Anolis sagrei: one gene and its partners. The protein of the gene in region 1 binds, or shares a complex with, the protein of each later gene. Links are inferred from orthologs where the notes say so. Each region holds a gene or a part of one and is shown in the gene's direction. Other genes may lie near its edges. The genes, in order: FGF23, FGFR4, FGFR1 and FGFR3.

What was found.
Region 2: the proteins of FGF23 (region 1) and FGFR4 are in contact, whole or in part, in a cryo-EM structure (PDB 7YSW), measured with the Homo sapiens proteins. The link is inferred for Anolis sagrei from reciprocal best matches to the Homo sapiens genes FGF23 and FGFR4. Residues at the interface, in NP_065689.1 of Homo sapiens: Leu32, Gly33, Ser35, Trp36, Gly37, Tyr43, Ala45, Thr46, Ala47, Arg48, Asn49, Ser50, Ile75, Arg76, Ser77, Glu78, Asp79, Ala80, Gly81, Val83, Val84, Tyr93, His117, Gln118, Thr119, Asn122, Gly123, Tyr124, Asp125, Leu158; in NP_001341913.1 of Homo sapiens: Glu156, Lys157, Lys158, Leu159, His160, Ala161, Val162, Pro163, Asn166, Asp240, Leu242, Glu243, Arg244, Ser245, Pro246, Lys272, Val273, Tyr274, Ser275, Asp276, Ala277, Gln278, Pro279, His280, Ala308, Asp309, Ile310, Ser312, Gly336, Asn337.
Region 3: the proteins of FGF23 (region 1) and FGFR1 are in contact, whole or in part, in a cryo-EM structure (PDB 7YSH), measured with the Homo sapiens proteins. The link is inferred for Anolis sagrei from reciprocal best matches to the Homo sapiens genes FGF23 and FGFR1. Residues at the interface, in NP_065689.1 of Homo sapiens: Leu31, Leu32, Gly33, Ser34, Trp36, Gly37, Tyr43, Ala45, Thr46, Ala47, Arg48, Asn49, Ser50, His52, His66, Ile75, Arg76, Ser77, Glu78, Asp79, Ala80, Gly81, Val83, Val84, Tyr93, Phe108, His117, Gln118, Thr119, Asn122; in NP_075598.2 of Homo sapiens: Glu159, Lys160, Glu162, Lys163, Lys164, Leu165, His166, Ala167, Val168, Pro169, Lys172, Gln244, Asp246, Val248, Glu249, Arg250, Ser251, Pro252, Val279, Tyr280, Ser281, Asp282, Pro283, Gln284, Pro285, His286, Ile287, Ala314, Gly315, Val316.
Region 4: the proteins of FGF23 (region 1) and FGFR3 are in contact, whole or in part, in a cryo-EM structure (PDB 7YSU), measured with the Homo sapiens proteins. The link is inferred for Anolis sagrei from reciprocal best matches to the Homo sapiens genes FGF23 and FGFR3. Residues at the interface, in NP_065689.1 of Homo sapiens: Ser29, Leu32, Gly33, Ser34, Trp36, Tyr43, Ala45, Ala47, Arg48, Asn49, Ser50, His52, Ile75, Arg76, Ser77, Glu78, Asp79, Ala80, Gly81, Val83, Val84, His117, Gln118, Thr119, Asn122, Gly123, Tyr124, Asp125, Leu158, Ser159; in NP_000133.1 of Homo sapiens: Glu157, Arg158, Asp160, Lys161, Leu163, Leu164, Ala165, Val166, Pro167, Arg223, Asp244, Leu246, Glu247, Arg248, Ser249, Pro250, Val277, Tyr278, Ser279, Asp280, Ala281, Gln282, Pro283, His284, Ala312, Gly313, Ala314, Thr316, Thr317, Asp318.

What each region holds. Positions count from the first base shown.
Region 1 is NC_090025.1:104,196,456-104,204,407, reverse strand, and holds the start of FGF23 (fibroblast growth factor 23), read left to right. Parts: upstream 1-4,856; 5' UTR 4,857-5,016; coding exon 5,017-5,233; intron 5,234-6,954; coding exon 6,955-7,058; intron 7,059-7,952. UniProt on the Homo sapiens protein: Regulator of phosphate homeostasis. Inhibits renal tubular phosphate transport by reducing SLC34A1 levels. Up-regulates EGR1 expression in the presence of KL. Acts directly on the parathyroid to decrease PTH secretion. Regulator of vitamin-D metabolism.
Region 2 is NC_090022.1:77,267,249-77,274,956, reverse strand, and holds the start of FGFR4 (fibroblast growth factor receptor 4), read left to right. Parts: upstream 1-4,659; 5' UTR 4,660-5,044; intron 5,045-7,524; 5' UTR 7,525-7,563; coding exon 7,564-7,663; intron 7,664-7,708. UniProt on the Homo sapiens protein: Tyrosine-protein kinase that acts as a cell-surface receptor for fibroblast growth factors and plays a role in the regulation of cell proliferation, differentiation and migration, and in regulation of lipid metabolism, bile acid biosynthesis, glucose uptake, vitamin D metabolism and phosphate homeostasis.
Region 3 is NC_090027.1:2,236,382-2,243,748, reverse strand, and holds the start of FGFR1 (fibroblast growth factor receptor 1), read left to right. Parts: upstream 1-4,299; 5' UTR 4,300-4,395; coding exon 4,396-4,486; intron 4,487-7,367. UniProt on the Homo sapiens protein: Tyrosine-protein kinase that acts as a cell-surface receptor for fibroblast growth factors and plays an essential role in the regulation of embryonic development, cell proliferation, differentiation and migration.
Region 4 is NC_090023.1:142,751,721-142,758,784, reverse strand, and holds the start of FGFR3 (fibroblast growth factor receptor 3), read left to right. Parts: upstream 1-4,057; 5' UTR 4,058-4,129; intron 4,130-6,562; 5' UTR 6,563-6,635; coding exon 6,636-6,819; intron 6,820-7,064.

The sequences.
Region 1 (7,952 bases):
CTGTCCAGCACACAGCGCAGATTGACCTTCTACCGCAGCTTGCAAAAGTCCTTGTCAGGTCAGTGCTGCTTGTCCAACTTTGCTGAGCTGTGTTTGCTTATATTGCAAAGCTAAAGTAAATTTACTTAAAGGTTTTACTGTCCAATTGTGACTCTGGATGTTGCCTTTAAAGGTGATTTGTAGTTTGATTAAGCACCACTACCTTTTGACAGAGAAGGCTAATAAAGACCTTGTCAAACTACAACTCTTACATTGAGCCATGGCAGTTAAAAGTGGTATCAAACTACACTCATTAAACAGTAGGTGCAGCACTAGTTCATTTCAGGTCCAGTTTACTTGTTCAATTTCCAGTGAACTTCAGAGTTTCAGTCACACCTTCCTTCTCTATCAGACCTGAATCTTTCAAAAAACTTCCAGTATCTCTTCTTCTGTACACAGCACAAGCCATTTCCTTATTTTACTACGGACTTGCCAGTGATGACAAGTTGGTTGAAAAGTGCAAGCCTTGGGCTGCTGCATAATGTAATACAATACAGGGTTAGTCAAAATGAATAGGCCAATAAGAAAATTAATTTTAGACGAATGTATGTTTATTGTAACCAAACTACAGCTACGTATCGACAGATAAATTATCAAAGTTTTGTCTCACCTTCAGAGATGTTCGATATGGGCGTCCCGTGTGACACGGCAGACGTCCAAGCGATAGTCCAGTTCATTCCACATCCGTTGCAGCACATCCGACGTAATGGCATCGAATGCAGCACCTTCTCTTTGCCTGATTCCGCCATTTTGAAAACAGCGACTCCTAGCGACGCCTAGCGGCATTAACGTACATGTGTGTTGCTAAAAAAAAACTTTGATAGTTTATCTGTCGCTACGTAGCTGTGGTTTGGTTACAGTAAACATACATTCGGCTACAATTAATTTTCTTATTGGCCTATTCATTTTGACTAACCCTGTATAATACTACTAATAAATATGATATTATAATGATATATTTTATATTATATGTAATATTACTAATAATATTACACTATAGTGTTATAGTACAATATAGTAATATATAATATTAATATTGTGCTATGGTAATAATATAATATATTGTATTTACATATTACTTGTAAGCCGCTCTGAGTCCCCTTCGGGGTGAGAAGGGCGACATATAAATGTCGTAAATAAATACATAAATAAATGATGTTTTTTTGTCTAAAAACCTTTAATGAGTTGCCTTTTGCTAGCAATGTCATGGGGAGTAAGTATGGAGCACATCACACTTACCTTTTTTAAGCATTCCAGGATGTTAAAGGGACAGTACAGCAACAGATAGGCACACTGGCCATCACATGATGTTCCTCGACTTCCTGTTGAAGTGCCGTAAGATGCTTTCCTCTTAACATTGGAAAGCTCCTATGATATGCTGGCTCCAGTGGAGCCAGCACATTTCAGCACCACTTCGTTGCCGCTTCCCCCGTCGCCACTGCCCCACATCCCTGCCGTTTTGTCCCAGAGGCTGGCTAAATGGCATGGGAGATGGATGGATGTGGGTTCATCTGTGTGATGAGGTTGTATGAAGCAATGAGGCCAGTGAGGGTGGCTTAGAAAATATACTTTGAGATTTATATGTAAATATAAATATTACTTTTGTGTTATTGTTTAAATTTATATATTTTACCCTTAGTACTTACTTAGATGATCCCTCGTAATCTGAGGATGATGATCCTCCAAATGATGTATCTTGGTGGTGGCTGTGGAGCCCTATTCTTGACCCTCATGTTCTCCTGCAGTGAGGGCATTGGTTTCCAAGTGGAAGGCGGTCCCGGTCGGGGTTGGCTTGATATGCCTTCCTCTTGGCATGTTTCTCTTGCCCTCCATTCATGCTTCTTCAAATTCTACAGCACTGCTGGTTACAGCTGACCTCCAGCTAGAGCGCTCAAAGGCCACGGCTTCTCAGTTCTCAGTATCTATGCCACAGTTTTTAAGGTTGGTGTTGAGTGATAGTGATAGGTAGGGAGCCCACCGCCAAAGATCCTCACTTGTGGGGGCTGCTTCAAGATCTAGGGGCCATGATCCTCCAAGGTACGGCTATCACATGCTCTGTTGGAATCAGCACCAGTACATTTCTGGAAACCCTTAGCCAAGCCTCTTTTTTTGCTAATAATGTCTCTGAGTTTAAGTGGTTCTTGTTGATTTAATACTTTCAATTTAGTAAAGTTTTATTTAACTATTAGAATAATAAAATTACAGGTCACTGAGTTGGAAGGGGCTTCATCAGCCATTATGGACCTGATCTCACGAGATCTTTTTTGCATCCTAGGACGCTTTTGCCTCAGTTGAGCAATGGAGCCCCACACCACCTATCACATGATGTAGCTCCCTTCCACCAGGGCTCTGTTGCTTAACTGGGGTAGCAACATGGTAGGACATTGCACCTTCAACACATGATCCTCCTTGTGTTTCATTTGGAACAATGGAGCTACTGCAGGGACAAACCATGTGATGATGCTTCCTCACGTATGAAGGGGAAGTGTCACTCATGGTTGGGTGAGGCGCAGGGTGCCGGGATTGCCCCACTGCCCAGCCAATTCGCCATGGAGGTTGGTGAATCAGCACGGGGAACCTCATCAATGTGATGAAGTCCTAAGTCCAATCCACAACAGTGCAGAATCTCTAGCTAGAGCATCCCCAGCAGGTAGCTGTCCAACTTTGTTTTGAACGTGTCCAGAGAACACTTTGTGCAGTTGATCCCATTGCTAACCTGCTCTCTCCAAGAAGTTCCTTCTAAGATTCAATTGAAACATACTCTCTTGGAACTTAAAATTATCAGACCTGGCTTTATCCTCTGGGACAGCAGAGGACATGCCACCCCTCCTCTTCTTGCCAGCCCAGCCCTTAATGTATTTAAAAAGGGCACTCCTAAGTCTTTATAACAGAAGAACAAGCAAGAAGATATTCTGTTTATCAGTTCAAACTACAGCTTAAGTATTTGCAATTACACTTTTAACTTTCTATTTAGCCTTTGCACCATTTTGACAGTGGAATATGTTCCTGCCTTGGAGTATGCTGGGGTCTCCTTCTCAGGAGGTTTAAAACAGAGGCTAGATGGCCATCTCTCAGGAGGACTGGATTGTGTATTTCTGTATGGTAGAAGGGGTTTGGAATTCATTACTCTTGGGGGTCTCTTCCAATTGTAATGGCATGTAAACAACCACAGTTTTAATCTAAGAGATATGGGGGAAAGAGCCCAGTGTTCTATGTAACAATAATAAAATTAAAAAACTTTATTTATATACCGCTCTATCTCCCCGGGGGGACTAAGAGCGGTTTCCAAGTAAAATCATCAAAACATATAAAGTAAACAACATAACCATAAGATTAACAAAACAATATAAGCATATATTTTTTTTGCCACAACACACATATATTAAAAGTAATCCTGCCAGTTCAAGACAATTTAAAAGACCGGGCCGAGATTAGTGCAAGCTCAAAAATTCTAGAGGGCCCGGGAATTAAGTGCAGTGCTATAGTAGGGTATATGGCCAATTCATTTCTGGGACCTATTAGAGTAAGTGGCCTGGGTAATTGGTAGGAATAATAAGGCCATATTCAACAATGTCTATGGTTGAGCTAGAACTAGTCATTCTCAAAGGTTTGTTGAAACCACCAGGTCTTCAAGCTCTTATGAAAGGAGGGGAGGGATGTAGCCTGTCTAATTTCCCTGGGGAGGGTGTTTCAGAGGCGGGGGGCCACCAATGAGAAGGTCCTCTCGCTCGTCCCCACCAACCTTACCTGTGACAGTGGTGGGAGCAAAAGGAGGGCCTCCCTGGAAGATCTTAGAGTTCGTGCTGGTTCATAGAAGGAGATGAGATTGCGGAGATAGGCGGGGCCCGAACCGTTTAGAGCTTTATAGGTCATGACCTGCACCTTGAATTTGTCTCGGCAACTTATAGGCAGCCAATGAAGCTGTTTTAATAGGGGCATTGTATGCTCCCTATAGTTTGCTCCAGTTAGGAGCCTGGCTGCTGCCCGTTGTAACAGTTGAAACTTCCGGGCCGTCTTCAAGGGTAGCCCCAAGTAGAGCGCATTTCAATAGTCCAATCTGGATGTAACCAAGGCGTGGACCACCCTGGCCAAGTCAGACTTCACAAGGCATGGTTGCAGCTGGCACACAAGTTTGAGTTGTGCAAAGGCCCTCCCAGCCACTTCCGACACCTGAGCATCAAGCGACAGCATTGTAGCATTGTAGTAGCCGAGTTTTTAAAAGTCAAGTTCCTTTAAGAATAAAGAACCCCCATATCCACGGAACAAATACATGCAGTTTCACTTATCCATGGCTTCACGTCTTCACTGCTAAAGGCCTCTTGTATACCCCTTCTTCCTGGTCTCTCCACTGTTCATCCCATTGAATTAACAGGGTTTACTTGTGTATGTGGTTTCTTGTATCTCTGTGAAGTCAGGAAACATATTCCCTGTGGATATGGGGATTGTACTTTTTTTGCTTCCTAGCTTTGCCTTGATCATTTGTGTAGGACGTGTGCCTTAGTGCCATCCCAGAGTCAACATTGCCTCACCGGATACTCGGACCTTACGTTTAACAACCCAGGTATACAGAAACAGCTGTAGAGAAAGGGGGAGAATGGAGATGCCATTGCATCACAAATGAATGGGTTGGTCCTAATCCAGACAGTGGGAAGCATTCTGATGTCAGAGGTTTTTTTCAGATAACATTTCAACATGTCATTAGTGCCCAAAAGTTTACTTTGGAAACCACAGAAACCTCTCTGAGAAACCCATGTGCAGATGTTTTTTCCCCTTTTTCCTGAGTTGTTGAGGTCTAAGGACACTCCCAACATGTTGCCCAGAAAGAGCCTCACCCCCACAAGCCGCTCAACAACTATAAAACTGTTGCAAGGCTGTTGGGACCCTGTCTGAGGCATCACACTCCAGCAGAAAGGAAGGCAGAAGGTGGGTGGCTGTGGACAGGGAAAAGGATCAAGTTGCAGGTCAGAGAGGAATACCATGGCTACTCTGTGCAGCTTCCTCAAATATATGCTGTTTGCAACATGTAGCTGGAAAGCAATTGCTGCTTTCCCCAATGCATCGCCTTTGCTCAGCCGCAACTGGGGAAATTCAGACAGCCTGCTGCACTTGTACACCTCCACAGCAAGAAATAGCTTCCACCTGCAAATCCACTCCAATGGCTACGTGGATGGAAGTCCGTATCAAACCATTTACAGTAAGTACCATAGAAGTAGTCTGAGAAATAATGTGAAGAAGAACCAGAAATGCTGGATATGGTGGCTGGGGGATTCTAGAAATTGTATCCTAAACTTAAGTTTACTATATTCCTCATAGTAAAGGTATAAAAACTATATTGAATCTCTCACTTAGCACTAAATCGGTGTTTCACAACCTGGGGGTCGGGACCCCTGGAGGGGTCGTGAGTGGGTGTCAGAGGGTGGGTGTCACCAAATATAATCAGAAAGCACGGTATTTTCTGTTGGTCATGAGGCTTCTGTGTGGGAAGTTTGGCACAATTCTCTTGTTGGTGGGGTTCAGAATGCTCTTTGATTGTAGGTGAACTATAAATCCCAGCAACTACAACTCCAAATAGAATCATAGAATCATAGAGGTTAGCAATGGGATCAACTGCACAAAGTGTTCTCTGGACACGTTCAAAACAAAGTTGGACAGTTACCTGCTGGGGATGCTCTAACTAGAGATCCTGCACTGTTGGGGATTGGACTTAGGAAGAGATCTCATGGGTCATCCAGTCCAGCCCCCTGCCAAGAAGCAGGAAAATTGCATTCAAAGCACGCCCGACAGATGGCCATCCAGCCTCTGTTTAAAAGCTTCCAAAGAAGGAGCTTCTATCACACTCCGGGGCAGAGAGTTCCGCTGCTGAACAGCTCTCACAGTCAGGAAGTTCTTCCTCATGTTCAGATGGAATCTCCTTTCTTGCAGTTTGACACGGTCTATTTCCCCAAACTTCATTTGGGCATATTGAGTATTCATGCCAAGTTTAGTTCAGATCCATGTTGTTTGAGTCCACAGTGCTTTCTGGATTAAGGGACAACATGGGAAGTTAGATACATGTAGCTTGGAGAAGAGAAAATGGAGAGGTGATGGCGCTGTAGCTTGCATTCCTGCCTGGCAGAAGAGGGCAGGAGTAGATGTTCCTTTTGGGAAGGTAATTACTAGAGAATAGAGAAAGCACACATAGGGAGAGAAGCATATTTTGTGGAAAGTGAGTCAAAGTAAGAAACAGAGAGTTAGCAGTTGGGTAGAACAAAGCACCTGTGATACCTATCATTAACAATGTGGAGCAATATCATGATTAAGACACACAATTTAATTTTTGGAGACTTCAGAAAACCGTGAGGGTAATTTTAATTTACTGTTATAAACCAGTACACTAAAATTACAAAATTACAAAAAGAAAAAAATCGTGATTAAATGTTAGGAAGAAATTTTATTGGCAAGAGTGGAATATACTGTCATGAGCACTGTAGACTCTTCTCTGAGTTTCAAAGACAATTTTAAATGTATTTATTATATTTCAATCTGTTTTTATCTTAATCTACACTGTACTATTTAATTGTTTTTTAACTTTTGTATTGGAATTTTTATACAATGAGTAAAGTGTGGGATTGTTAAACACCTTGAGTCCCCACAGGGAGAAAGATGGGGTATTTAAAAAGTTAATAATAAAAATAATATGAATAATTATCTGGAGGTCTTTAGACAGAGGATTCCTATCTTACAGACCTATTTGTTATAATTTGAAACAACTTTTTTATTATTGCAGACAGTCATTATTTTGTAACATGATTGAAATCTGATAGGACTGCCAGGGAAACAAACATATTTTGTGGTTGGTTCTGGCCAGTCAACCGCCACCATCTGCAACTGAAGTTATTAAAATAATTTTCTAATATTCAGTAACTTAATTTTCAGGTGCCTTGATGATCAAATCCGAAGTTGCTGGTTATGTTATAATAAATGGTGTGAAAAGTGGACGTTTCCTTTGTATGGATATGAATGGGAACATCTTTGGATCGGTAAGTCTGCTTATACATATATATATATATATATTGTCGTGTCAGGAGCGACCTGAGAAACTGCAAGTTGCTTCTGGTGTGAGAGAATTGGCCATCTGCAAGGACGTTGCCCAGGGGACGCCCGGATGATTTAATGTTTTATCATTCTTGTGGGAGGCTTCTCTCATGTCCCCGCATGAAGAGCTGGAGCTGATAGAGGGAGCTCATCCGCCTCTCCCCGGATTCGAACCTGCGACCTGTTGATCTTCAGTCCTGCTGGAACAGGGCTTTAACCCACTGTGCCACCGGGGGCTCCACATATAAAATTATTTAGCAAAATTACATCATACAACAGGGCTTGCACCAGAAGCTTGGAGTAAATAACTCTGTTGTGCTTCCCAAGAAGCGGTTGTCTCTTTCACTTCTTTATTAAAACACCTCCTCTTCTTCTGAGACAAATAAAATTAATGTTGGATGTCCCCTACCTCTTTCTGCATGTTCATCACCATCAGCATTGCTAGCAGAGAAAATGGAGGGAAATGCTGAGCAACTAAAATATACATAAGAACATAGAGAAAATGACCAAGACCACATTCAAATGCTTAAACCTGTTGGTAAACCTTCATTGTTTGAGTAGATGTCCAATTGACACCCCTCTTTCAAAAAATGTTAGGTCTTTTGACAGATCCTTCCTCCATCCTAATGATCTAAATTATCCTAAGTTAGATAGCTCCAGGTAAAATATCTAGGGATAGTTATTGATGATAAAACATGAGACATCCCTTAGAAAAATACCATGTCAGTGTCATTCAAAGTTCGAGAGCACAATCTCATATCCCTGGCATTTGGTTCCCATATGCATGTGTTATATCAGTGATTCCCAACCTTTTTTTTGAACAGGGACCACTATCCAAC
Region 2 (7,708 bases), on another chromosome or scaffold:
ATTCCTCCCAGTGGATAACCTTCCTCACACGGTGATAACCTGCACAGACAACTTGGCTCCTCCAAATGCTTCCCTGTGTGACTGAGCCTCGGGGAAGGCCTCTTCGCCTTTTTCAAAAGGAGGTGGAGAGGTTGCCATCTTCACACTCCCCCCCCCCCCCCCGAAAGGCATTTGAACTCCCTGTTTTTATTACGCTGGGGCTGGGCCGTTTTCCTTTTCGTAGAACTTGAGGACACAAAGTGTTTCCGGAGAGGGATGGCTTGTGTTAATTTGTGGCAGCAAAAACAACAAAGATGCTTGTGACTGTCTTAAAATAGGCTCCCCCATACTGGTGTCTTCCAGATTGGGGGAGCTGGACTACATTTTAAAATTAAAGACTCTTGAAATAGAGACATTGGTTGACTGCTGTATGGATTTGTGAAGGGCAGAAAAGCAGGCAGGTCTTTCTTTGCTATGCATGGAGCTGCAGATTGGAGGGTCATTTCCTAACACTAGTTTAAGAAAGGGGGACAGAGGTCAATGCAACCTGAAAACCACACCTTCTCTTCTAATAGTCAGCCAGAGGCTGCATCTATGCTGTAGAATTAATGCTGTTTGACACCACTTTATTTGCCAAGGCTCAGTGCTATGGGAATAGAGGTTTTACAAGGGCCTTCTTTCTCAAAAGTTGCCGATGCCTGACCAAATTACAAATCCCAAGATTCCATAGCATTGAGCTACAGCAATTAAAGTAAAGAAAAACAATGTTAATTCTACAGTGTAGATCAGTGGTCCATGGAACTCACTGTTACTACACGGCTGTATCGGGAGGGGAGAGGCTGACTACCCATGAAAGCAACAACAAGCCTCCTGACTTCTGCTTCTCCTCCTCCTTCCTTCCTTCCTTCCTTCCCCTGAGCCGAGCCATTCCATGTGGTGTCTGGAAGAGGGGATGCCCTGATGTCTTTGTTTTTAGGCCTGTTCCTGGGGTTATTTGTGGTGCTGATTCAGATTATCAAATATTGTTTTCTGTGGGCAAACAGATGGAGACTACTGGATGGCATTTGTTCTGTATCAGAAATTAGAGCTGATGTGGTCTATCCAATACAGTTTTCTAAATCAGCACCCCAGATAATCAAACCAAATCTAAAGTTGACCAAAAACTGATTCATAACCCTTTTGGTACTAATGTTGGAGAGTGGCCCCTGGTCAAAAAATAAGGTTGGGAACCACTGGTGTAAATGGACCCTCAGTTGTGCCTATCAGCCTTTCTGCAATCTGGCAAACCCATGTCCTCAGACAAATGTATTAGATTTGTCTGCTATCATCTCCAGTGGATCTACTTCATAAGCACCTCTGGAAAGTGACAGGTTGTGGGAAAGCCGGTATATCATTATGATGGCTGGGAGTAATTAAGAAGCATTCTGTACATGCTCTGAAACACTATTTTTCCTGTTCCCAAACATTATTTTTAAAGCTCTGTTCTTTGCATGAAACCAACATCTGGGTACTTCTCCCCCACCATCATAACATCCCAACCATAATTTTGTGCAGCCTGAAATTTCTAGCTGGGTTTACAGAGGGTCTTGCAGAAAGAATCAGTTAGCTGTGTCCATCTGCAGCTGTCAGAATACAGATTAACTATTTGCCTCCCAACTCCTGCAGCTGCTTCTAACTTCACGTTCCCATAATGATTTTTGGCATACATTTGAGACAAGTCATCTGTGACAAGTCTTCTCATTAAGCTAAGTAAGGCAGTTATCTGGGCTCCGCTGAATGCAATGTTCAAAGGCATATTGGTTTCCCAATTTCCCAGTGGAGGGAATGTGTGTGTAAATGCATGTGACACATATCCATGCCTTACATCTATCTCACAGCTGGGATGATGTTCTGAAATCCAGATTAGAAAATTGCTTTCAAGGGGACTGGCATGTTGAAGTCATCCTGAACACTGATAGTTACGATGCTGTTCTTCTGTTTTCACCATCTGCTTCTCTGGCCGTGGAATTCAACAAAAAAGCTCCTGTTTTGTAGATTTCCTATGAGGCGAGTGGGGTGGTAGCAGGCATGTAGCGGGGGGGGGGGGGGGGGGGGGCTTGAGGGGCTTCAACCCCAACCCCCCCCCCCCCGAAATTCTCATGGTGGTTCGCAAAAAGGCCTTACTGGTGCAATATTTAAACTGTTATGTTTATTCATATCATGATCTGATCACCATGCTCAATATATCCCATATGCATGGGGGTATTGGGGTAACGATACAAAAGGTTTGCTAGGGTAGACCCTCTTTCACTCAGACACAGCCCCCCCCCCGAAACAAACTCAGCCCCCCCCCCAATTGAAATCCTGGCTACGGGCCTGGGTGGTAGTCCTTTGTGACAGCGATGTCTGCCTGCATTAATTCTGCAGTAGATGTACCACTTCAAGGCACATAGTAGCCCAAATGAAGTTTATCTAAACCAGTGGTTCCCAACCTGTGGTTTGTGGACCACCAGTGGTCCGGGAGAACTAAAATATGGTCCTCACCATTACTACCCCGTTGCAACGAGAGTGGCTGGTCTCATGAAATGCTCTTATAGTGATGAGGCTTATTAAATATGGTTTTCTGTGGGCGAACAAATGGCGATTAATGGATGGCCTATGTTCTGCATCAGAAACTAGAGCTGATGTGGCCTATCCAATGCAATTTTCTGAATCAGCACCCCAAATAAGTAAACCAAATTTAAAATTGACCAAAAACTGATTTGTAACCCTTTTGGTACTAATGTTTGAGTGGTCCCTGGTTAAAGTGGTCCCTGGTCAAGTGGTACCTGATAATAATTAAAAAAGGTTGGGAACCAGTCATCTGAACATACACAGCAGGGAGTTCCAAGGGGGCACAATCTGCCTTTTCATCTTCAGGCAAAAAAGGCCCTTTGCAACAAATCACCCTCTCTACCCCACACTCTTTCCACTTTCTTTTGCCTATCCTTTCACTTAGCATAGACTACTGCAACACGTTCTACGTGGGGTTGCCTTTGAAGAAGGCCCGAAAGCTTCAATTAGTCCAATGGGTGGCAGCCAGATTTCTAACCAGAGCGGCATACAGGGGGCATACTACTGTCCTGTTTAATCAGCTCCACTGGCTGCCGATTCGCTACTGAGCTCAATTTAAAGTGCTGGTCTTGGCCTATAAAGCCCTAAATGGTTCTGGTCCAATTTACCTGTCTAAATGTCTCCTTGTATGAGGCTACTAGAACTTTAAGATTGGCTGGGGAGGCTCTGCTCTTGGTCCCACCCTCTTCACAGGTGTGATTGGTGGGGATGACAGAGCCTTCTCAGTGGTGGAACTCCCTCCCCAGTGACATCAGGCAGGCCTCATCCCTTCTAGTTTTTAGAAAAAAGTTAAAGACATGGCTTTGCACATATAAATGACTATGGGCTTTGACACGGTTTGAATATGGACTATGAACAAGGATTTTGGATGACTGGAACTAGGCACTTTATATGTTTGAATGTGTTTATTAACTAATTATTAAGTGTTTTAATGGCGGGGGTGTGTTATTGTTTTTACTGTTAGATTTTACCGTTATTGAATGGTACCGCAGTTGTAAACCACCTTGAATTCCCTGAAGGGAAGAAAGGCGGGGTATTAAATGAAATAAAACAATAAATGATCTCATTTCTTTAAAATAGCATTTCTCAACCTGGGGGTTGGGACCCCTGCGGGGGTTGCAAGGGGGGTGTCAGAGGGGTCACCAAAGACCATCAGAAAACACAGTATCTGTGTGGGAAGTATGGCCCAGTTCTTTTGTTGGTGGTGTTTAGAATTCTTTTTGACTGTAGGTGAACTATAAATTCCAGCAACTACAACTCCCAAATGTCAAGGTCTGTTTCCCCCAAACTCAACCAGTGTTCACATTTGGGCATATTGAGTATTCGTGCCAAGTTTGGTCCAGGTCCATCATTATTTGAATCCACAGTGCTGTCTGGATGTAGGTGAACTACAACTCCAAAACTCAAGGTCAATGTCCACCAAACCCTTCCAGTATTTTCTGTTGTTTATGGGGGTTCTGTGTGGGAAGTTTGGCCCAATTCTTTCACTGGTGGAGTTCAGAATGCTCTTTGATTTTGGGTGAACTATAAATCCCAGCAACAACAACTCCCAAATGACAAAATCAACTCCCCCAACCCCACCAGTATTCAAATTTGGGTTTATTGGGTATTTGTGCCAAATTTCGCCCAGTGAATTAAAACACATCCTCCATATCGGGTATTAGTATTACGATTCATAACAGTAGCAAAATTACAGCAACAAAAACAATGTTATGGCTGTGGGTCAGCACAATATGAAGAACTGTATGTATTAAGGGGTCGCGGCATTGGGAAGGTTGAGAAACCCTGTGGCCTTTCCCCAGGAAGAGCTCCTGGTTTGGTCTCTCCGGTTTCCAGGGCGAGCGGGAGAGGAAGCCCAGCGAGGGCAGCAGGGAATGAACTCGGCCTAATCCCTTTTGCCGGAGCTTTGGGGGAGAGAATTTAGCTAATGTGAGTGTGAAAAGGCGCTGGAGGGGGGGGGGGGGTGGAGGAGGGGAGGGGCTGCCGCGCAGGGAGGGAAGGAGGGAGGGAGGGGCCCTGGGGGCGGGGCGGGGAGGGGAGTCCCTCGGGCCCCGCCCCCTCCCTCGCTGGCTCTTTTGGCGGCCCATTGTTGGCTGGGGTCCGCGCGCGGGGAAGGGGAAGGCAGGAAGGCGAGAGAGGGAGAGAGAGAGGGAGGGGGGTGTCACCCGAGCCCTGGGGCTACAAAGTCCCCACGCCTTTGCCGACTTCGGCAGAAGGGCGCAAGGGAAGGGAGCCGGGACCCTCGGGGCGCGCGTTCGGGGCTCTCTCCGCCTCCCAGGGCAGGGAAAGAAAGAGGTGGGGGAAAAAACCTCTCCTCCTCTTCCTCCGGATCGATCTCCCTTTCCGCGCGGGAGGCGCCTCGCTCCCTTGGCCGGCCAGCTGAGGATGGAGCGCCTCTCCGCAGCCCCAGCTTCCAGGAGTTAGCGGGACCCCGAAGCCGCAGCACCAGCAGCAGCCGAAGGCGGAGGAGGAGGTGAGGAGGGCGCCTTCGGGCCGGGTTTGGTGCAGCGGAGGGGAGGGGGGCGGGCGGTTAAAGCTTGGTGGCCCTTGGACTCACTCGGGTTGCCTCGTCCCTTGGCTTATAGTTTGGGACTGCCTTCTCGGGCGGTGTGGATGGAGAGTACCTTTGGCGACCCAGGAGGCTCCCCGGGGCGTGGCGGGGCCGAGAGCCCTCTTCCCTGGGCGGACTTTGACCGGGAAGGTCTGTCAATCTGTTACCAGAGGTCTTTTGCTCCCCCCCCCCGCCCCCTTTGAGATCGCGGGATTAAAGATTAAACCACCTGGGAGACCGGGGAGCTCTTTCTTCCTTCCCCTGGTCCTCTCACTCACTCTCTCGCATCTCCTCCGCTCCGCCTGGCTGGGAACTTACTTCGTTTCGCCCTTGAAACGCGCGCCTCGCTCCAGGCGCAAGACTTTCCCCCGTTTCCTTCCAAGCGGCATCCGAAAGGAGCCCCCGGTGGTGCAGTGGGTTAAACCCTTCTGCCGGCAGGACTGAAGACCGACAGGTCGGAAGTTCGAATCCGGGGAGAGCGCGGGTGAGCTTCCTCTGTCAGCTCCAGCACCCCGTAGTGGGACATGAGAGATGCCTCCCACAAGGATGGGGAAACATCAACACATCCTGGCTTCCCCTGGGCAACGTCCTTGCAGACGGACAATTCTCTCACACCAGAAGCGACTTGCAGTTTCTCAAGTCGCTCCTGACACGGAAAAAAAATCCGAATCCTCCCGGGAAGGTGACCCGGATCCCAGGGAGGATGATCCCTGTGATGGGAGAGCTCCTCGTCCTGACTCTCCCCGGTGCGCCGCCTTGAAGGGACTGCCCTGCTCGCAGCATCTTCCCATGAAGCCACCGTCTTCCTCCCGTTTTCCCTCCTCGTTTACCGGTCCTAAGGTTCCCCAGGCTCTCCCCTCTTGTTGTTTGTCTTGTGCTGCCCTGGAGCAGCCACCCAGGCTCACAACCAAAGATGTCCCTCTGAGATTTGGGCAGAAAGGGGAAAAGGTGGCAGAATCTTCCTGCCCTCTTGGGAAGCAGAGAGGCAGGGACCAACATCCTGATGCCCATTGCGAAGGGCCCCCTGGTCCAGCTGCACTTCTCAGTCTATTTGATACAGGGGACCGAGCTATTACTTCCCTCCATTGGACCAGGGACCCATCACCATAATAGGGGCCATTGGCTGGCATTGTTCCTTTGTTTCCTGGTCATTTGCCAGGAACTGACAGCTCATGCCCCGGGAATTGGTCCTAGTCCAGAGAGCACCACTTACATTTGGTCCTCAAAATGTAGTCCTCTAGATCAGGTATTGGCAAACTTCGGCCCTCCGGGTGTTTTGGACTTAACTCTCACAATTCCTGGCATCAGGCTCCTTCCTTTTCCCTCTCAGCCGCTTAAGCGGGTGTTTGGACCTCCCACAATCACTGGCCTTAGACCCCTTCCTTTCCTCCTTCTGCTACTTAAGCAGATGTTTTGGACTTCAACTCCCACAATTCCTGGCCTCAGGCCTCTTCCTTTTCCCCCTCAGCCATTTAAGCGGGTGTTTTGGATTTCATCTCACACAGTTCCTGGCCTCAGGCCCCTTCCTTTCCCCATCAGCTGCTTATGCAGCTGAGGGGAAAAAGGAAAGAGCCTGAGGCCAGGAATTGTGGGCGTTGAAGTCCAAAACACCTGGAGGGCCAAAGTTTGTCCATGCCTTGTCTAGATCCTTTACATAACCCCAAGTATATATGTGTAAAAAATAGATGTAAAAATCAAACATTTCCTGACAACACATCAGTATTGGCAAGACTTGCTAAACAGGCTGGTTTTCCTTTTTATGAAGTACAGCTGAAGCATTTTCTGCAGAGCCCACTGTAAACGCTGCTCATGGTTGCTAACAGATTCATGTAAATGTCTGAAACCTTTTCTGTTGCCAACTGAGCTAAGGGAACCCCATTTGTGGCTGGAACCCACAGTTTAAGAAGCAGTGCTGCTCTGCATGTTTTGAAGTTGAACTCCTGAAAGTCCTAGTTGGTGAGGCCAATGCAGGCAGTTCTTTCCAAACATCTGGAGGACCATAGTTTGAGAACTATTGGTCTAGAACTTTGAATGAAGTGTAGCCAGTTCTCAAAGGAAGAGTGGTAAAATTGCAAGGATGGCAAACCATGTGCTCCCCAAGAAATAAATTAGCATTTCTTTGAACTTATTTTCTTGTGGGAATGGTTAGCAAATCGGTCCCTTATTTGAAATCCCTGCTGGCGGCCCTTTCCTTCCAAAGAGAATGTCTAGCAGCCAATCATGGCTGGCTACAGGAGTCAATGTCTATATAAACATGTTTCTCCTTTGCTATTCCTGCATCCATGCAAGCCATTATTATTGGCAGTTCTAGATGGGTATGAACTTAGGATATGTGGTTCATTGTGTGTTGAGTGGAAAAAATCCAGAGGGCTGAGTATGACTTTCTCCTCTCTTTGATCCAGGGCTTTACATTTCTACTGGAGTCAAGAAGAAACGACAGGATGAGAACCATACTGTGTGGCCTTCTGAAGTTTCTGGCAGTGGTGGCAACCACATGTGCTTGGCCAGCAGCTGCTCCCATGGGAGGAACCACAGAACCGGGTGAGAGTGTGGGGATGTCTCTGTTGTTGGGAGAAAGAAGATGAC
Region 3 (7,367 bases), on another chromosome or scaffold:
CAGATTGATTCAGGACGATCGTCATATCACTCAGAGAGAAATTTCAAGCACAATCGGCATTTCACAAGAACGTGTGGGTCACATTATTGCTTTGCTTGGTATCGGAAGATCTGTGCATGATTGGTACCCAGGATGGGAGAACCGTGGGATGCTAGTTGTGGAAACAGCGTGTCGACTTCTTCTGTGACGGCTTCAGAAAACTTGTTCATCTTTGGCAGAAATGTATCCAATTGTCTGGAAATTATGTAGAAAACTGAATAGTGGTAGTTGAAGAGCACATTATAAGGATTCTTTCTGTGTTTCGTTTATTAAAATATTCCCATCCAAACCCAAGTAATGAAGGTTTTTTGTTCTGATTTGTGTGACAAACAAAGAGTTGGACGTCCCCTGACAGCAACCACCCAGTTTCACAAGCAAAAGGTTGACAGATTGATTCAGGATGATCGTTGTATCACTCAGAGAGAAATTTCAAGCATAATCAGCATTTCACAAGAACGTGTGGGTCACATTATTGCTTTGCTTGGCTATCGGAAGATCTATGCACGATGGGTACCCAGGATGAGAGAACTGTGAGATGCTGGTTGCAGAAACAAGAGTGTTGACTTCTTCCGTGACGGCTTCAGAAAACTTCTTCATTGTTGGCAGAACTGTATCCAATTGTCTGGTGATTATATGGGAAAGTGAATAGTGGTAGTTAAAGAGCACATTCTAAGGATTATTTCTGTGTTTCATTTATTAAAATATTCCCACCCAAACCCAAGTAATGGAGGTTTTTTGTTCTGACTTGCATGACAAACAAAAAGTTGGACGTACTGTGACAGCAACCACCAAGTTTCACAAGCAAAAGGTTGACAGATTGGTTCAGGACAATCATCGTATCACTCAGAGAGAAATTTCAAGCATAATCGGCATTTCACAAGAACGTGTGGGTCACATTATTGCTTTCCTTGGCTATCGGAAGATCTATGCACAATGGGTACCCAGGATGAGAGAACTGTGAGACGCTGGTTGCGGAAACAGAGTGTCGGCTTCTTCTGTGACGGCTTCAGAAAACTTGTTTATTGTTGGCAGAAATGTATCCAATTATCTGGTGATTGTGTAGAAAAGTGAAAACTGGTAGTTAAAAAGCATTATAAGGATTATTTCTGTGTTTCATTTATTAAAATATTCCCATCCAAACCCAAGTAATGAAGGTTTTTCGTTCTGACTTGCGTGACAAACAAAGAGTTGGACATCCTGTGACAGCAACCACCAAGTTTCACAAGCAAAAGGTTGACAGATTGATTCAGGACAATTGTCGTATCACTCGGAGAGAAATTTCAAGCACAATCGGCATTTCACAAGAACGTGTGGGCCACATTATTGCGGAAGATCTGTGCACGATGGATACCCAGGATGAAAGAACTGTGAGATGCTGGTTGCGGAAACAGAGTGTCGACTTCTTCCGTGACGGCTTCAGAAAACTTGTTCATCGTTGGCAGAAATGTATCCAATTGTCTTGTGATTATGTGGAAAAGTGAATAGTGGTAGTTAAAGAGCACATTCTAAGGATTATTTCTGCGTTTGATTTATTAAAATATTTCCATCCAAACCCAAGTAATGAAGGTGGAGGCATTACTTTTCAGTCAACCCTCATACCTTGACATTCTGTTACCACTAAGAAAAAAAAAGGCATAGCAATGAGCAATACAAACAACTGATTGCAACAGGTTAACATTTCTTAATCCAACAGCCTTAATTTCCAAACAGGTTTCGAGGTTCCTTGAAACACAAAAGAATCATAATACTGTATATTTGAATGTAACAAGAAGCATCCACATTGTCAAATTAGTGCAGTTTGACATTGCTTTAACTGTCATGGCTTAATGTTATGGCATTCTGGGAATTGTAGTTTGGTATAGCACCAGCTCCCTATGGCGGAGAAGGCTAAAGTTTGTAAAACTACAACTCCTGGGAATCCATAGCACTATTTATTTATTATTCGTGTCATCCGCAACCAGAACATTGTATTACATTTCTAACAGAACAAAACAAACAAACAGATAAAAAAACAACACAAAGTTTGCAAGCTTGGTAGCTGATTAAATGTCCTTTGAGCAATATCTGGCCCCTTGGAGTGCCTCTGGTGTTGCCGCAAGAAGGTCCTCCATTGTGCATGTGGCAGGGCTCAGGTTGCATTGCAGCAGGTGGTCTGTAGTTTGCTCCTCTCCACACTCGCATGTCGTGGACTCCACTTTGTGGCCCCATTTCTTGAGGTTGGCTCTGCATCTCGTGGTGTCAGAGCGCAGTCTGTTCAGCGCCTTCCAAGTCGCCCAGTCCTCTGTGGGCCCAGGGCGGAGTCTCTCATTTGGTATCAGCCATTGGTTGACGTGCTGGGTTTGAGCCTGCCACTTTTGGACTCTCACTTGCTGGGGTGTTCCAGCGAGTGTCTCTGTAGATCTAAGAAAACTATTTCTAGATTTAAGTCGTTGACGTGCTGGCTGATACCCAAACAGGGGGTGAGCTGGAGATGTCTCTGCCTTGGTCCTTTCACTATTGGCTGCTACTTCACGGAGGATGTCAGGTGGTGCCTGTGTCATTTCTCCAGTGGTGTAGGGCGCAGGCACTCCGTGATAATGCGGCATGTCTCATGAAGAGCCACATCCACTGTTTTAGCGTGGTGAGATGTGTTCCACACTAGACATGCATACTCAGCAGCAGAGTAGCCAAGCGCAAGGGCAGATGCCTTCACTGTGTCTGGTTGTGATCCCCAGGTTGTGCCAGTCAGCTTTCGTATGATATTGTTTCTAGCACCCACTTTTTGTTTGATGTTCAGGCAGTGCTTCTTGTAGGTCAGGGAACGGTCCATAGCACTGAGTCATGGCAGCTAAAGTGGTGTCAAACTGAATGAATTCCACGCTGCAGATGCCTCCCCTTTTTACCTCTGTATTGGAAAAAGAAGGGAAAGGGGGTTACCCAAACCTAAGAGTGACTGATCCTCGTGCCTGGATTGCTAAATTATGTTTTAATGTTGCATCTGTGATTCATACTGGATTGCTTCCACCTCCTGAAAAAAATGCACTTCCTGCCTCTGGAATTACATTTTCTGGGGGTGGAAAGCAAATTAGAATGAATTCCTTTCTCCTTTGTAGTATTTAAGACCGTGTTTCTTAACATGGGGGTTGGGACCCCTGAGGTGGGTCGTGAGGGGGTGTCAAAAACATCACCAAAGACCAGCAGAAAACACAGTATTTTCTGTTGATGATGAGGGTTCTGTGTCGGAAGTTTGGCTCAATTCTATCCTTGATGGAGTTCAGAAATCTCTTTGATTGTAGGTGAACTATAAATCCCAGGAATTATAACTCCCAAATGTCAAGTCTATTTTCCCCAAACTCCATCAGTGTCCACATTTGGGCATATTGAGTATTTGTGCCAAGTTTGGTCCAGATCCATCATTGGTTGAGTCCACAGTGCTCTCTGGATGTAGGCGAACTACAACTCCCAAAACTCAAGGTCAATGCCACCAAACCCTTCTAGTATTTTCTCTTGATCATGGGAGTTCTGTGTGCCAAATTTGATTCAATTCCATCATTGGTGGAGTTCAGAATGCTCTTTGATTGTAGGTGAACTATAAATCCCACAAACTACAACTCCCAAATGTCAAGGTCTATTTTTCCCAAACCCCACTGGTGTTTCCATTTGGGCATATTGAGAATTCATGCTAAGTTTGGTCCAGATTTATCATTGTTTGAGTCCACAGTGCTCTCTGGATGTAGGCGAACTACAACTCCAAAACTCAAGGTCAATGCTCACCAGTATTTTATGTTGCTTGTGGGAGTTCTGTGTGCCAAGTTGGGTTCAATTCCATCATTGGTGGAGTTCAGAATGCTCTTTGATTGTAGGTGAACTATAAATCCCAGCAACTACAACTCCCACAGGACAATATCAGTACCCTCCCCCAATCCCACCAGTATTCAGATTTGGGTGTATTGGGTCTTTGTGCCAAATTTGGTCCAGTGTATGAAAATACATCCTGCATATCAGAGGTTTACATTACTATTCATAACAGTGGCAAAATGGAACTAATGTTATGGTTGGTGGTCACCATTACACGAGGAAGCATATTGAGGAGTCGTGGCATTAGGAAGGTTGAGAACCACTGATATAGATGGTTGACAATGTAAACATATTGGGGAGAATGGAGCTTGGGAAGAATAAGAACTTTTGGCTTCCTGACCCTTCATTCTGCTTTTCTCTCTTTGTCCCCAGTGTTTGGATGCCTCTGCCCTGGAGAGCAAAGAGCTGAGCAGATCCAAGCGAGAAGAAGTCCATCTCCCGTTTGCCCATCGAGGCCCAAGGTCCAAGTCCTCATGGAGTCCGGGAGCAGCGTTTCCAACCTGTAGCCACAGATCTGGGATGTTGACGTGGAAGTGCCTCCTCCTTTGGGCTGTGCTGGTCACAGCCACACTGACCACTGCAAGGCCAGCGCAAACCCTGCCAGAGCAAGGTAGGAACAGAAGTATTGGGGTGCCGTTTGGTTTCCAAGCCGTTGATGAATTGGAGTGATTTCAGGCTGCGTGTACGGTCACAAGAACACATTTTTTGCAGCTCTCAAGGGATGCTCAAGTGCAAATATGGCTAGGTCTACATTGCCATATAATCCAGTTTCTGAATCTGTTTTGAACTGGAGATTCCACCTGAACATGAGGAAGAACTTCCTGACTGTGAGAGCTGTTCAGCAGTGGAACTCTCTGCCCCGGAGTGTGGTGGGGGCTCCTTCTTTGGAAGCTTTGAAACAGAGGCTGGATGGCCATCTGTCAGGGGTGATTTGAATGCAATATTCCTGCTTCTTGGCAGAATGGGGGTGGACTGGATGGCCCATGAGGTCTCTTCCAACTTTTGGATTCTATGTTCAGCAGTGGAACTCTCTGCCCCGGAGGGAGTGTGGTGGAGGCTCCTTCTTTGGAAGCTTTTAAACAGAGGCTGGATGGCCATCTGTCGGGTGATTTGAATGCAATATTCCTGCTTCTTGGCAGAATGGGGTTGGACTGGATGGCCCATGAGGTCTCTTCCAACTTTTGGATTCTATGTTCAGCAGTGGAACTCTCTGCCCCGGAGGGAGTGTGGTGGAGGCTCCTTCTTTGGAAGCTTTTAAACAGAGGCTGGATGGCCATCTGTCGGGTGATTTGAATGCAATATTCCTGCTTCTTGGCAGAATGGGGGTGGACTGGATGGCCCATGAGGTCTCTTCCAACTTTTGGATTCTATGTTCAGCAGTGGAACTCTCTGCCCCGGAGGGAGTGTGGTGGAGGCTCCTTCTTTGGAGGCTTTTAAGCAGAGGCTGGGTGGCCATCTGTCAGGGGTGGTTTGAATGCAATATTCCTGCTTCTTGGCAGAACGGGGGTGGACTGGATAATGGCCCAGGAAGTCTCTCCCAACCCCCAGGATTCTATATGAGTCTACATTGCAGTATAATCCAGGCCCCATCCACACATACAATCCAGTTTATCTAATTTGAACTGGATTATGTGACAGTGTAGACCAGGCATGGGCAAACTTGGGTCCTCCAGGTGTTTTGGACTTCAACTCCCACAATTCCTAACAGCCGCTATCTGCTTTGCACTGAATTATGTGGAGCTGGATCCACATTGCCATATAATCCAGATTATCAAAGCAGATAATGCACATTGCTTGGTTTGAGCTGAATTATATGGGGCTGGATCTACACTGCTGTATAATCCAGATTATCAAAGCAGATAATGCACATTATTTGGTTTGAACTGAATTATATGGGGCTGGATCTACAATGGCATATAATCCAGATTATCAAAGCAGATAATGCACATTATTTGGTTTGAACTGAATTATATGGGGCTGGATCTACACTGCCATATAATCCAGATTATCAAGTCAGATGATCCACATTATCTGCTTTGAACTGAATTATATGGGGCTGGATCTACACTGCCGTATAATCCAGATTATTCAAGCAGATAATCCACATTATCTGCTTTGAACTGAATTATATGGAGCTGGGTTTACACTGCCATATAATCCAGATTATCAAAGCAGATAATGCACATTATTTGGTTTGAACTGAATTATATGGGGCTGGATCTATACTGCCATATAATCCAGATTATCAAAGCAGATAATTCACATTATTTGGTTTGAACTGAATTATATGGGGCTGGATCTACACTGCCATATAATCCAGATTATTCAAGCAGATAATCCACATTATCTGCTTTGAACTGAATTATATGGAGCTGGGTTTACACTGCCATATAATCCAGATTATCAAAGCAGATAATGCACATTGCTTGGTTTGAACTGCATTATATGGGGCTGGATCTACACTGGCATATAATCCAGATTATCAAAGCAGATAATGCACATTATTTGGTTTGAACTGAATTATATGGGGATGGATCTACACTGTGATATAATCCAGTTCAAAGCAGACAGTCTACATTCTATATGGCAGTGTAGCTCCAGCCCCATAAAATCCACTTCTAAGTAGCTAATCCCAATTCAGGAACTGGATTATGTGGCCGTGCAGATTGGACCTGTGTCTCTTTGGTGCTCTGTTTATATACAACTGTTGGCCCTTTCTACACTGTCATATAAAACCCAGATTATCTTCTTGAACTGGATTATATGGCAGTGTAGACTAATATAATCCAGTTCAAAACAGATAATGTGGATGGTTTACTTTGGATTACACGGCAGCATAGAAGGGGCCTGTGATAGAGATAAATGCAGTCTTTGGAATGATAGATATCAGTTTAGAGGTTTTGTGATGAAAGGTGTTGCTTCTTACTGCCTGGGGACATCCTTTGTTGAGAGGTGATTAGCTGTCCCTGATTGTTTCTTGTCTGGAGCTCCCCTGTCTTTATTTACTGTTATAATTTTAGAGTTTTTTAATACTGGTAGCCAGATTGTGTTCATTTTCATGATTTCCTCCTTTCTATTGAAATTGTCCACCTGCTTCTTGTGGATTTCAATGGCTTCTCTGTGTCGTCTGACATGGTGGTTGTGAGAGTGGTCCAGCATTTCTGTGTTCTCCAATAATATGCTGTGTCCAGGCTGGTTCATCAGGTGCTCTGCTATGGCTGACTTCTCTGGTTGGAGTAGTCTGCAGTGCCTTTCGTGTTCCTGGATTCGTATTTGGACGCAGCTGCTGCGTTTGGGGGTCCCTATGTAGCCTTGTCCACAACTGCATGGGATACAATATTTTATTTATTTATTTATTTCGGGTATTTCTACCCCGCCCTTCTCAACCCCCGAAGGGGGACTCAGGGCGGCTTCCAACTGGCATACATCTGGAATATTGTGTCCAATCCTGGGCACCACAATTCAAGAGAGATATTGACTCTAAGCTGGAA
Region 4 (7,064 bases), on another chromosome or scaffold:
CTACACTGACCATGTAATGCAATTTCAAATTGCAGTATATGGCAATGCAGTTGGGGCCTCGGTTAATGTAAATAATCAAAGCCTAGCCATCTTTGAAATGCCACATGTAGACAGCTAGGTATAGATTTGGAACTTCAGCAATGCAACGACTTAAACTTGGATGCAAAGGATGGGAGCCAGCCTTCTTGAAAGCAGAGCTAAGATTGCACACCTCAGCTCAGGGACAGGGTCCTCCTCCAGGTTAGGCCCAGAACACAAGAAGTCTCCAGGTGTGAACCCCAGAAGGTCCTATGCAGCCAGAAACATGGAATCTTCAGAGTTAAAAGAGACCACAAAGCAATCCTGAAAAATGACCTGTCAATCTCCATTTAAAGACTTCCAAAGATGGAGAATCCACCACTTTCAGGAGCATCATTCAGTCATTCTGCCTTCTTGTTCTCCTCCATAAGTGATTTTTCTGCCTTGATAGCCTTCTTAAGTAGCATAGCAAAGTAATTTGTTATTTTCTAAATGAGCTTCCATCCGTTCAGATGACAGCTGAGCTACTATTCATGCTTAACCAGGCATGTCAACAAGTAGCTCGTAATACCTGCATGTCAGTATCCACCAAACTTAATTTATTCAATAATGAACAACCAACTTGATGTAATATCTTGTTTAACCCAGAGGGGAGAATTATGCAGCCCTCCAGATGGTGCTGAATTGGGAATTCCAGAAGTCTTTTATCAGCAGAGGCAGCAGGATGAGGAATGACGGGGAAACTACACGTTTCACACCCTTTTTTGAACCATTAGTAACAGGAACCTCATTTGGTGATTAGGAAGCAGTAATCAGTCTTTCTGACTAAAGTTACGAGTATAGTCATTTGAGAAAAGAAGAAACGAGACATGCTTCTTATCTGCACTTCTGATTACTGCAAAAACATGGAATGAGAAGACTATGCTGGGAAAATATGTAATTGATCAGTTCAACTCGCAACAAGTTAATCACCATTGTTTCAATTCACAACTCTCTATATATAAAAGTTAAAGCATGTTCGCATGACTCTTTGAACCAGAAAAGGTGATTGCTAGGTGAAGTGGCCCTCTGTGATGTCACGGGGTGACAAGGGGATGGGAGGGAGGAAGGAAAGAAAAAAGCCACAAAGAGAGCCTGCCCACCCTTGCTAGAGTGTTGGTAAGCCTTCTCAGAGCTGGAGAAGGGGGAAAGTCAGTGGGCAGACAAGTATACTCAGCTAAAGAATGGAAAATGGAATGTCATAGAATCATAGAGTTGGAAGAGACCACATGGGTCACCTAGTCCAACCCCCTGCTATGCAGGAAAAGCATAATCAAAGTATCCCTGACAGATGACCATTCAGCTTCTGTTTAAAAGCTTCCACTGCACTTTGAGTCAGAGAATTCCACTGCTGAACAGCCTGTACAGTCAGAAAGTTCTTCCTAATGTTCAGGTGGAATCTCCTCTCCTGTATTTGAACCCATTGCTCCGAGTCCTAGTTTCAAGGGCAGCAGAAGACAAGTCTGCTCCCTCTTCCTTATGACACCATTTCACATATTTATATGTAGTGGACAGCAAGAGATTTAAATCAAACCTTTAAAAATGTGGAATAAATATTGTAACTGGAGGTCAGCTGCTACCAACAATGCTGTGGATTTTGAGGTATGAATGGAGGGTGAAAGGGAGAAAGTGTCAAGAGGAAAGCGCCTCAAGCTAACCCTTGTCAGGACCGCCTTCCATCTGGAAATCTATGTCCTCATTGCGAAAGACTATATGGATCCACAATAGATCTCTACAGTCACATATGGACCCAGGGCCAAGACAATCACAGGCCCCTTCCACACAGCTGTATAAAATCCACATTGAACTAGATTATATGGCAGCGTGGACTCAGACAATCCAGTTCAAAGCAGATATTGTGGATTTTAGAAAGAGCTAAAAACTTGGTCCTTTCTGTAGGCCTTTGATAATGTTTTCAACAAGATGATATGGTTTTTATATATGTTTTATATTGTTATGTTGATTGTTTTTAATCGCACTTTTATGAATGCATGCCATTGAATCGTGCCAATCTGTAACCTGCCTTGAGTCGCCATATGCTTGAGAAACGTGGGCTATAAATGTCGTAAATAAATAATAAAGAAATCTTTAAGATAGCAGCCAGACAACTATCTTTAGCCAGGGAAGGCTAGATTGACTGTATGGATTTTTAATTAACAACTATTGCCATATTTTATCGATTCTATTGCTCTTGTTAATTTTATATGTCTGCTTTTAAATGTGTTTTGGTTTTAATGTTGATATATTGCATTTTATATGTTGTATGGGAGATGGTGGTAGGCTATAATAAAATATTATTAGTATTATTACTATTATTATCTGCCTTGATATTCAGGGTTATATGGCTGTGTGGAAGGGCCCATACTTGGCCTCAAGTTATTGCCTATGATGATGACATATGTTAGTAGTTCATATAAAACTTGGTATGGTATCAACATCCCCTTTCAATATGTGCAGTGTGACTACGGAATGGCCTTGGACTCTGACTCTAGATGACGTGATTCATTGAAATGGATTTTATTTTATTTTTTATTTTAAACCATGTTTGTAGTTGGATACTAGCCATCCCCTGCCACACGTTGCTGTGGCCCAGTCTGTGTATATATATGTGCGTGTATATATATGTGTGTGTGTATGTGTGTTTGTGTATATATGTGGTTTTGAGCATGCGTTTTAATGTTTTTTGTTTTGTTTTGGGGCTTTTTAAGTCTCTTTCGCTGTGTTTTTCAGTGTTTTTATGAGTGATGGTCACTCATTGGCCTAATAGGTATATTGTGTCCAAATTTGGTTTCAATTCATCCAGTGGTTTTTGAACCACTGTTAATCCCACAAAAAACTGTTAATCCCGCAAAAAACATTACATTTTTATTTATATAGATTGTATGTTGTGAGCCACCTTAAGTCCCCCTCAAGGTAGAAAGGTGAGATATAAATAAGGTAAATAAAAAAGGAGTTCCTGGTGGCACAGTGGGTTAAACCGCTGAGCTGCTGAACTTACTAGCCTTAATGTTGCAGGTTCGAATCTGGGGAGTGAGCTCCTGCTGTTAGGCCCAGCTTCTGCCAACCTAGAAGTTTGAAAACATGCAAATGTGAATAGATCAATAGGTACCGCTCCGGTGGGAAGGTATGGGCACTCCATTCAGTCATGCTGACCACATGACCTTAGAGGAGTCTACGGACAATGCCAGCTCTTCGGCTTAGAAATGGAGATGAGCAGCAACCCTCAGAGTTGGGCACCACTGGACTTTATGTCAAGGGAAAACCTTTACTACCTTTAACTAAGTCAGGGGTCCTCAAACTTTTTAAACAGAGGGCCAGGTCACAGTGCCTCAAACGGTTGGAGGGCAGGATTATAATTTTTTAAAAAACATGAATGAATTCCTATGCACACTGCACATATTATTTGTAGTGCAAAAACACTTAAAAACAATACAATAATTAAAATGAAGAACAATTTTAACAAACATAAACTTATTAGTATTTCAATGGGAAGTGTGGGCCTGCTTTTGCCTGATGAGATAGGATTGTTGTTGTTGTTGTGTGCTTTCAAGTCGTTTCGGACTTACGTTGCCCCCGAGTGTGGGCCTGGTAAATGACCTTGGAGGGCTGTATCTGGCCCCCGGGCCTTAGTTTGAGGAACCTTGAACTAAGTAAATAAATAAATATATACATACATTTCAGTCAATGGAAGTCTCAAGTGACTGCTCTTCCTGGGACACAGCAGAGTCCAGTCCGTCCTGCAGCTGTGGGGCTATGAAGAGGAATGCTTACCTGGAACAGAGTCATTGCTCTTACCTGGAGAACATATCGACATTCCCTGCACCGGCTCCTGGTGCGCATTCCCAGGTAGTCTCCCCGGGGAAGGGAGAGGGGTGAGCGCGCGCTGTGCCCCTGCCTCGCGCGCGGGAGGGAAGGAGGGAAAGGCGACTCCCCATTGGCTGCGGGGAGTCCTCGGCTCCGCCCCTTTCCTCCGCGCGAGGCGGTCCGCGCAGGGCTGGGCGCAGAAGGGCTCCAGCTGCGGTGGCAGAAGGCAGCAGCCTCGCTCTCGCGCCCGCTCTCTCCCTCTCCCCAGGTAGGCACCGCGGGATGGACGGGGGAATTCAGGCAGACTGGGAGGGGTAAAAAGGCGGGGGAAACAACTCACCTGAATGTTCTCTGACGAGGAGCCCTCAGAGTCCTTCCTCTGACAAGTCTCCTCAACCTCCTGGCGCTCGCGGACGGTGTCCCACCCGTGTTGAGGGGGGACCTGGTGCCTTAAGGCTGGGTAGGCGTGGGTTTCAATTGACACTCGTTCGTTTTGCAGGCGGACAGCTTGGCGTCCCTCTCGACCGCTTTTTCTGACTCAGCGCCTCCGCTCTTTGCGGCTTCGCTGGGGCTGAATCCACACGGCTTGCAGATTCCAGGGCCGTGTGGATCCAGTTCAGTCTGCATTCTGAAACAGCGTTATAGAGCTATGCGGATCCAACCTGAGGCCCCCTCTACACTGCCATCTGATTATTATTATTATTATTATTATTATTATATTTGAGTTGTTGTGAGTTTACCAGGCTGTCTGGCCATGTCCCAGAAGCATTCTCTCCTGATGTTTCGCCTACATCTATGGCAGGCATCCCTAGAGGTTGTGAGTTGTGAGTTTTCCAGACTGTATGGCTATGTTCCAGAAGCATTCTCTCCTGACATTTCTCCTGCATCTATGGCAGGCATCTTCAGAGGTTGTAAGTTGTTGTGAATCTTCCAGACTGTCTGGCCATGTTCCAGAAGCATTCTCTCCTGACAATTCGCCTGCATCTATGGCAGGCATCTTCAGAGGTTGTGAGTTTTCCAGACTGTATGGCTATGTTCCAGAAGCATTCTCTCCTGACATTTCTCCTGCATCTATGGCAGGCAACCCCAGCGGTTGTGAGTTGTTGTGAGTTTTCCAGACTGTGTGGCTATGTTCTGGAAGCATTCTCTCCTGACATTTCGCCTGCATCTATGGCAGGCATCCTCAGAGGTTGTGAGTTGTTGTGAGTTTTCCAGACTGTATGGCTATGTTCCGGAAGCATTCTCTCCTGACATTTCGCCTGCATCTATGGCAGGCATCTTCAGAGGTTGTAAGTTGTTGTGAGTTTTCCAGATTGTCTGGCCATGTTCCAGAAGCATTCTCTCCTGATGTTTCGCCTACATCTATGGCAGGCATCCCCAGAGGTTGTGAGTTGTGAGTTTTCCAGACTCTATGGCTATGTTCCAGAAGCATTCTCCCTGACATTTTGCCTGCAACTATGGCAGGCATCCCCAGAGGTTGGCAGGCATCCCCACAGGCCTTGGCCATTGTAAGCCGCATCGAGTCCTTCTGGAGATTTTGCAGGGTATAAATAAAGTTAATAATAATAATAATAATTGTGAGTTGTGAGTTTTCCAGATTATATGGCTATGGTCTGGAAGCATTCTCCCCTGACATTTAGCCTGCATCTAAGGCAAGGCATCCCTAGAAGTTGTGAGATCTCACAACCTCTGAGAATGTTTGCCCTAGATGCAGGCAAAACATCAGGAGAGAATGCTTCTGGAACATGGCCATACAGCCTGGAAAACTCACAACAACCCAGTGATTCTGACCATGAAAGCCTTTGAAATATATTATTATATTTATTTATTTATACCCTGCTTTATCTCCCCAAAGGGGATTCAAAGCGGCTTGACATGAAAAGCATTGGCATAAAAATGTATACAATCCAGATTATCTGATTTGAACTGGATTGTATGGCGGTGTCAACCCGGGGGTGAATGTAAATAAAAGAGAGGGAATGTATAGTACATGTCTATATAACTGTATTTTTTTCTCAAATAAAAGTTTATTAATAAAATAAAATAAGTAATCCAGTTCAGAACAGATAATCTGGATTTCATAAGGCAGTATAGGGATACCTGGCCCATCGCTGGAGGTCAAAGTAAGAGTCAATCCCATAGAAGAAATGTCAGAAACTGCATAGTTTTCACATGTGGCAATGAGAGCGGAGAATGTCCCCTTCAAACATCCCTCATCTTAAACCTTATCAAGGGGAGACCTGTGGCACGTGGAAGCTTCCAGACCTTAGGTTAAAAACCAAAACTACTTAGTGTATTGCGTTGTCGAAGGCTTTCATGGCAGGAATCACTGGGTTGCTGTGAGTTTTTCAGGCTGTGTAGCCGTGTTTCAGACCGCTTCTGGAACATGGCCATATAGCCTGGAAAACTCACAGCAACCCAGTTAATGTGTTGTCGAAACTTTCACAGCTGGAATCACTGGGGTGTTGTGTGGTTTCCGGGCTGTCCGGCCGTATTCTAACAGCATTTTCTCCTGGTGTTTCGCCTGCATCTGTGGCTGGCATCTTCAGCGGGTCTGAAGTGGAGTATATATACCTGTGGAATGTCCAGCGCAGGAGAAGAAAACCATTCTCTGTTAACCAATGTCAAGGGTGCAGTTAGCAAGCTTGATTTGCAACCGACTGGAAGCACTCAGATGTCTGCCTGTTGTGTCTTCTTGCAGGGTGTAGCCAGACCTTGTGGGGCCCAAAAGGAGGCCCTCCAATCCAGCCGAAGGGGCAGCATGCATCTGGAGGATGGCTGAGGCTGGCCACCACAGCAGCACCACAATCACTGCCCAGGGTGGCTCCTCTGGGCAAGGAATGCCTGCAGTGTGGGGAGCACTGCTTTGCTTTTTCCTGGTGGCAACCGTCAGCAGCCTCCCCTCAGCCCGACCATCCGCTTCGGACCCTGAAAACAGGTTTACCAGAGAGCCATCAGGTAAGAAAGTTTGTGGAACAGAAGAGCTATTTCCACCCTCCGCTATGAGCCATGTGCTGTTTCTTGCTGGGATCTCTAGCTATCCTTTTACCTTCCTGTCCCTTTGCCATCAACAGCCCTTGCATTCAGTCTGTCAAATGTACTGTGTTACAGACAAGGTAGCACGAAGGAACTGCTCCTGTTTGGCTGGCTAGTCTAGTAGTTATCTGCTCCTCCTGAGCATGCCCCAGTTTCAAGTTGGGAGA